Linked DNA regions of Kluyveromyces lactis. The main gene of each other region encodes a partner of the protein of the gene in region 2 in a complex. Links are inferred from orthologs where the notes say so. Each region holds a gene or a part of one and is shown on either strand. Other genes may lie near its edges. The genes, in order: PFS2 and CFT2.

Region 1 (3,627 bases), about 420 kb from region 2:
ATTCAGCAGAAGCGAATTCGACCACTATTGCAAAGAAAATGCAAGAGTGAACGAAGGTTCTCACAATCCAAATTTCGGTTTATTCTTTTTCCATATCATGAACGCAGGACAATTTTCTGCAGACGATAGTAATATGTACTACTTCCCCTCGCAATACTGTTCCGATACAGCAGAACTTATCAATACAATGGAATATTTCATGGAGAATTATTCTAAAATGTACGGATACGGATACATCGAAAAGGCTAACGAATTTTTGAAGTATGGGACATCGTCCCCTACTTCTCCTCAACCATCCTCTTCCCGTGATAGATCTGATGCCATAGATGAAAATGTCCGAAAATCCAATATAATGACGTTGCACGAAAGTATCAATGATACTTATCTACAAACGTTGTAATCTCTTATACCATATGATTTGGCTATATTTATTAGAGTTTGAATGCCAGTGCTCCTTGCCAATTGATACACCAATTATAAAAAAAATATTAATGACGAAATGATATCTTATAAATTTAATGACCTTTTGACCGCCAGTTGATTAAGCGACTGGAATTGTAACGACCTCCTAACACTTTTTTGTTTTTATTTCTCGGTTCTTTTTAACACTTTTATATATTCAACAACTACTGATTCTTTTTTTACCTATTTAGTATAGTATTTTACTCGTTAACCTCTATTTTAGTTTATTCAATCGATACAGTCTACTTATTAATGATGAAGAAAAGGTAGATTTACATTTAATCTGCTTAAATAATATTGATGCTATAATTTCCATGACTTTCAATTGTCTTAAAAACTTAGGCCTGGTAATCCTGATCCCAAACCTGGTAAAGTACTGACAGATGGTCGCTCAGGTTCAACTGATCTGGAACCGTCGCCATTTTCATTATTATTGGAGTCTTCACTTGGTGGCAAAGCAACACCGTGTTCTGTTTTGTTTCTGACAGCATTAATGTTATTATTGATACCGAAGTACCAAGCATTAACTTTTTCATTGTTATATGTTGGATCATCAAAGGCGTTTGGATCGACTGCTCTCGATCTCGTCCAGAATCGAATAGTCCTATCTTTCGAGGCGCTAGCCATGATGTGACCAATTGGACTATATGCTAATGATGTAACACATTTTTCATGTGCATATGGAATGTTGTGTGTAGGTTTGTTTGGCTGATTTTCCTGGGATAGATCGAAATGTTTTATAGATCCATCATAGCATCCAACGGTAAACACTGTTTCATCGATTGGATGCCACTGTAATGTCATGTAGTCGACATCATCACGAACACTGAAAAGCTCTTTAGCCTGTTGTCGTATATCATATACCTTGCATGTTTTATCCTTCGAAATTACAGATAGTAAGTTTCCCTGTTTGGGTTGGAATTTCGTCGAGATGATAGTATGTTTAAAACCAAGCATGGTGGATACGCAGCTACCACTACGCGGATCCCAGAATTTGATAAGATTGTCTTTGGATCCTGATACGATTAAACCCATCTTCGGATGCCAGTCGCATGATTTGACGTCCCAATGATGGCCTGATAGCACCCTTTCTTGTTGTCCGTTGCTAAAGTTCCATATTTTCAACACATTATCATCAGAACAACTGACAAACTTCTGGTCGGTCGGACTAAACGATATTTCCCTTACACATTCCATATGTGCTTGGTCCATGACTTTAACCATATTAAAGTTTGGTTGCCAGATCTTAAGCTCCCCATCAGCGCTACCACTAACCATCCAATCCCCTGTATGTGAGTATGTCATCACGGTTACTGCACTATCATGAGCCTGCATAATACTTTCGAAATTGAAACTGGATCCACTCCATAATGAAAACTCTCCATTGTATGTAGCTACCACTAACCTTCTTCCTTCTGGCGTCCACGTAAGAGCCGGAATAACGTGCTTTACCTTATTTGATGAAAGATGCGTAAATTTGGTTGCTGTATTGATGGCATGCCCATGAAAACCATAGGCATCTGGCGGTAGTATATGAGCATTATATGAGGTTTCTGCCTCTATATATGACGAATTCTCCTGGCCATGCTTCTTCAAGAAATATAGTCTATCATAAGATGCAGAAATGTCAATTGTTCGTCTTTGCGATGTATACTTTTTAGTTGTGGTGCCCTCGGTATTAGGATCCATGCTATGTCTTTTTCAAGCTGAGACCAGGCTGTGTTGAAATTTCTGAGAACAGTATGAATAGTAGTTCACCTAAGTTTCGTAATGTGAAACGTTGGCCGTGTCTTTTGATACATGTTTTATGCATTTCCTACCTCTCAATATCATTAAATGCAAGTAATATTCTGATTTCGGTAGTTTTTGATGCCAGCTCGATGTTGAAGTTGCTTCAAGTAAAGAAAAAAAAATAGATCACGTGCAGCAGACCTTAAGCATAAGAATGAAGCTGATTCAATTACTTCTGTAGTATGGATTTAAAATACATATGTCCGTTAAGAAGTAGGAGCGATTCCCCTATTATATATAAGTAAATAATTTCCATGCGCGGCACGATATTCATATCTGTTGAGCTTGAGTAATTTATAAGTACTCTCTATGTCCTTTGATAATTTTCGGGTAGAGCATCCAAACTATGTTGAATGCCAAAGAACCAAGGAAGCATAGAAATGGATAGTATTGGAACCCAAAAATCTTGTTTGCAAACCCAAAAGAGTATGTTATTAATGCACCACCACACCCTCCGAAAGCGATTGCTGTACCAATACCACTAACTTGTTGATGTTTCGGTAGGATTTGGATTGCAACAACACTTGCGTTAGGGAACAAGGGACCTATGAAGATACCAGCGCCAAAGATCATCAACGATAAAACAAAGAAATAGAATGTCGATGTGGAATTGATTAGATTGATGATAACGAATAGGAAAAAAAACAATGAACAAGTCAAACCGTACCAAACGCTTGACCTGTATTCATTTTTGAACCTTTTTGTAACAAAACCAAGACCTAATCTACCGATAGTGATCCCAGACCAGAATGACGCAGTAACAAATGACATAAGGAACTTCTCACCTTTCTTATAATTCAACAAATATGTGAATAGCCATGTCCCAACACCAATTTCTGTACCTAAGTACAAGAATAAGAAAAATGCATACAAGAAAATCATCGGAGGATACTTCGATAACTGGTACCATTTTATCTCTTCCTCATTTTCAATACCACCTGATTCATCGGGGACTCCTACACAGATGTATCTGTATTTGGTAGCAGTTTCGTATTTAAAGGCCCCCATGCAGAGTGCCAACCCCACAAGAGCAAACACCAAAGGGACCCAAAAGATATAAGACCAATCCAAATAATGATCGAAGGTTGTAACTAATGGTGGGGTTACACCAGCGGCCAACCCGTATATTCCATGAAGCAAACCCATCCATTCATTCTTTCTAGTCTCTAAATTACCAAAGTAGAAATTACCTGTAGAGTCAACAAACCCAACACACATACCTAGCGGAAAGAAGCATATCGCATAAAGATAGAGCGAATATGGTTTTAGGGCAAGAACCAAGTAGGTAAATGCAGCAAGTATACATGATGCTGTCATTACGCCTCGAGACCCCCATTTTTTATGCAAAATATCATTTAAGACCGATGCCGACAC
Region 2 (3,935 bases):
ATTGTCAAAGATTCTCTCACGAAGGATCCATCAACAAGATCCCTTTCAGTGTTACTATTGTAACTGACGAGAGTTAAATGGTCGCATGGTGGTAATACAACTCTCTTTCCTGGTGGCACTTGGAATTTTTCAATCGTTTTAAGCAGGGGACAGTATTGTAGATCATCGACTATTGTAGTGTTATCCTCACATTGCAATTGATTCACTGTCATAATCCTAGGTGCAATCACTTTCTTACCCCTTCTTATGTTCAAAGTGAACAGCGTTTCCACGTCATGTAAATAAGTAGTCTCAAATATCGTGTCGATATCAAACATGTCAACTTCCTGGTGATTAATATCTCGGTTGGCGAATATATGTAATTCACATAATCGTAGTTGGCTTTGACAATGGCTTAGCTCTCTGAAATAGAACTTGGAAAGGAAATTGGTAGTCGTCTTATACATGAAGCATAGATTCTTTAGAGTACCCATCCCACTTAGCCCTCTACTTAATTCACATAATGCCGTCGCCAATGGGTCACTGTAGCAGCGATCGGATACGATGACAATGAGAACGTTGTCAAACTTCCGTAGAAATTCGCTCAACACAGGAAACTTGAACGTATCTGTATTTACGCAAGCGGTGTTTCTCTCATCAGATAACAACTCATAATTGCAAGGATCTGCTAAGGTTTTTGATGATTCCCTATCCAAATCCCAAATCTTCAATACACCAAGCTTGCGCTTTATAATTGTTCTAAAATGTGAACCAACCTTACTCCATGCTAACAGACTCTCTAGACTGTCTAGTCCGCTAGTTACTACACGATCAATAATTTCGATCGGAAGACTCATTACTTTTGTACCCTTAAATCTTCTTCTCCTCCTTCTTATCATTAGCAAATCTGTCAAAAGTGTCAACTAATGCAGCTTATCTTGCACGTTGTAAACTAGGTCCTTATAATTCAACTGATTTCAAGTACGCTGGTATATCCAAGATGCCTTTAGACTTCTTCCAGTGTTTGGGTCAGTTGAGCAATCTGTTCCGTAATCTGTCGCTTTATTCTTTAATATGCTGACTCAACCTCAAAGAACGTTCGGAATACATTTTGACACTTAAAGTACCGATAAAATTGTGGATTTTGTTGCCTATAATTGTAAGCAATGAAATATGTTTGATATTCCACCTACTGGACCGTACCAACCTACAGATTGCAGCAGTATCTCGTCCAATAACAACTTCCCTGTCTCAGTTTGGCCTCTTAATCCTTCTTACTGACATTATATCTCATTACCCGGACATAACATGTCAAAATGATACTCAAGGCATCAACATTAAGTTCATTTAAACAGTACATGCAAATAATTGAAGAATGAAGGATAAAGGAAGAAGAAGAAGAGATTGCCGGCACTGAGGACACCTTTTCCTTTCCCATTCCAACCAGTGGATTCTCATTGTTTTTCAAATATAGAAGTAACTGTGCTCTCAAGATGACATACACCATCGAAACATGTAGGGATGAGAAGAAGCGGTTTGAGGGAACCATTGTACGATTCAACAATGTAATAGTATTATTGGACCCAGGATGGAACGGTGAAGGCAGTTATGAAGAATGTGAAGAGTTTTGGACGCAGTACATATCTGAAGTTGACATTGTTCTGATTTCCCAGCCCACAATTGAATGCCTTGGGTCCTATGCCATGATGTTTAAACAGTTTTTGCCTCATTTTAGGTCGAGAATTCAAGTTTATGGGACGTTACCTGTATCAAATCTAGGCAGAGTCAACAGTGTTGACCTTTTAACTTCAGTTGGGATATTAGGACCGTTTTCTAATGCCGTCATGGACCTAGAAGATATTGAAAGCTCCTTTGACTTGATTGAAACGGTGAAATACTCTCAAACGGTGGATTTAAAGAATAAATTCGATGGGCTCTCATTAGAAGCACATAACTCAGGGTATGCTCCCGGTGGTACCATTTGGACGATAATCACTTCATCAGAAAAAATATTGTATGCGCCTCGTTGGAACCATACAAGAGATACTATCTTGAATAGTGCGGACCTATTAGACAATACTGGAAATCCAACCAGTTCCATGATGCATCCGACTTCTGTAATAACCAACCTTTCTATTATAGGCTCAGCTGAACCTCAGAGGAAAAGAGTAGAACATTTCACTGATACCATGAAAAGAGCTATACAAATGAATAACTCTTTACTGGTACCAGTTGAAGTAGGAGGGAAACTATTGGAAGTACTAGTCCTAGTTAACAATTTCTTATATGAAAATATGAGGGGTGGATTGAAGTATGATATTCCGGTGTTTCTAATATCTTATTCAAGGGGCCGTTCTCTCACATATGCTAAATCTATGTTAGAATGGTTGTCCTCGCAAGTAATCAAGACCTGGGAATCTCGAGACAATCGGTCTCCATTCGATGTTGTATCTAGATTGAGGATTATTACTCCTGAGGAATTGGGAGGTTACACTGGGCAAAAGATCTGTCTTGTTTCCGAAGTTGATGATATTTTGTCACAAACGATAAACAAACTTTGCTCTAAAGATAAAGTAACGATCATATTGACAGAGAGACATCCAAATACCCCAGCACAACATCCCTTACGAAAACTTAATGATAAATGGCAACAAGCAATAAAGAATGGGAGTAGAAGTGCATTGGATGGCAACCCCATTAGCATATCTGATTCGATGTCACTTCGAATCATGAAGAGAACAATTTTAAACAAGAAGGATGCGGAGAAGGTGAGAGAAATGATTAAAACTAGAAATGAGGTAAGAGAGAAAATTATCGAAGAATATACGGCTAAGACCAATGACAAAGCTCAAACAAAAACAATACTTTTTGATGTTGATGATGAGAGTAGCGACGAAGAAGGTGTGGATTCAATGGATGCAAGAGGCAAGAATGGATCGGGAAACGTTAAAGTGGAGATTCCCGTAGATATTACTTCCAATGATAGTGTTTCCACAAATGAAAAGCACCTTATGTTCCCATTCCATCCAGCAAAGCTTAAATCTGACGATTACGGTGATGTGGTCAACTTAAAGAGATTCTTACCACAGGAAGAATCATATGACCAAGCACAATCTTTAAAGCAATCTTATAGTAATAACGATTATGATGAAGACGATGACGATGATACATATGAGGTACTTGATTCGCGGATTAATAAATCAAAGAAAAGAAAAACAGATCATAATCCTAGGAAACAAGAAAATAATGATGATATTTCTTACTTGGACCCATTGAAAAGTGACATTTATAAACGAGCAATTGTGGAAACAAAAGTTAACATTCGTTGTTCTTTGGTATATATCGACTTGACAAGCATAGTTAATGCGCGGTCGATAGCAATCATCTGGCCTGCAATCAAACCAAGAAAAGTCATTGTGCTGCCATCAGCTGCTCCTGTTGATAACCAAGTCGTGGTTAATCTAACAAAGAGAAATATTGACATATTGGTGACTGAGTTCAATAATTCGGTTGAGATGGATACATCTGTCAAGGCAATTGATATTTCTATCGATCCATCGCTCGACCAACTTCTAAACTGGCAAAGAATCAGTAAATCTTTCACTGTGGCACACGTTGTTGGTAAACTATTGACAGAAACTGACCCAAAAGCCCCACATCGGGAGAAGGTTATATTGAAACCGTTAAGCAACCCGTTAGCTTTACATTCTGGAAGTTCTCTAAGAATCGGAGATGTTAGACTACCGGAATTGAAAAGAAGACTAACTGCGGAAAATCATAAAGCTGAGTTCCAAGGTGAAGGTACACTAGTGATTGATGGCAAAGTTTTGGTTCGGAAGATTAATGATGCCGAAACCATAGTTGATGGTTCACCATCGGACGTATTTTACAAGGTCAAATCGGCAGTGTCAGACATGCTAGCCAACGTTTAAATTGTTCGCGGAAGCTTTCTATAA

What was found.
Region 1: the proteins of CFT2 (region 2) and PFS2 are in contact, whole or in part, in a cryo-EM structure (PDB 7ZGQ), measured with the Saccharomyces cerevisiae proteins. The link is inferred for Kluyveromyces lactis from reciprocal best matches to the Saccharomyces cerevisiae genes CFT2 and PFS2. Residues at the interface, in NP_013216.1 of Saccharomyces cerevisiae: Asp547, Asp548, Tyr549, Gly550, Thr551, Val552, Val553, Phe555, Met557, Phe558, Leu559, Pro560, Asp561; in NP_014082.1 of Saccharomyces cerevisiae: Ser186, Ser187, Asn188, Ser190, Lys191, Ile203, Glu212, Trp227, Glu230, Met231, Gly232, Leu233, Leu245, Asp247, Pro248, Arg249, Ile254, Ser255, Ser256, Ile291, Ser294, Met295.

What each region holds. Positions count from the first base shown.
Region 1 is NC_006041.1:644,290-647,916, reverse strand, and holds PFS2 (cleavage polyadenylation factor subunit PFS2), read right to left. Parts: upstream 2,152-3,627; coding exon 793-2,151; downstream 1-792. Other genes in the region: PFK27 (6-phosphofructo-2-kinase), read left to right, coding at 1-400; BSC6 (Bsc6p), read right to left, coding at 2,548-3,627. UniProt on the Saccharomyces cerevisiae protein: Integral and essential component of the cleavage and polyadenylation factor (CPF) complex, which plays a key role in polyadenylation-dependent pre-mRNA 3'-end formation and cooperates with cleavage factors including the CFIA complex and NAB4/CFIB.
Region 2 is NC_006041.1:1,063,072-1,067,006, reverse strand, and holds CFT2 (cleavage polyadenylation factor subunit CFT2), read left to right. Parts: upstream 1-1,472; coding exon 1,473-3,911; downstream 3,912-3,935. Other genes in the region: KLLA0_E12035g (uncharacterized protein), read right to left, coding at 1-836. UniProt on the Saccharomyces cerevisiae protein: RNA-binding component of the cleavage and polyadenylation factor (CPF) complex, which plays a key role in polyadenylation-dependent pre-mRNA 3'-end formation and cooperates with cleavage factors including the CFIA complex and NAB4/CFIB.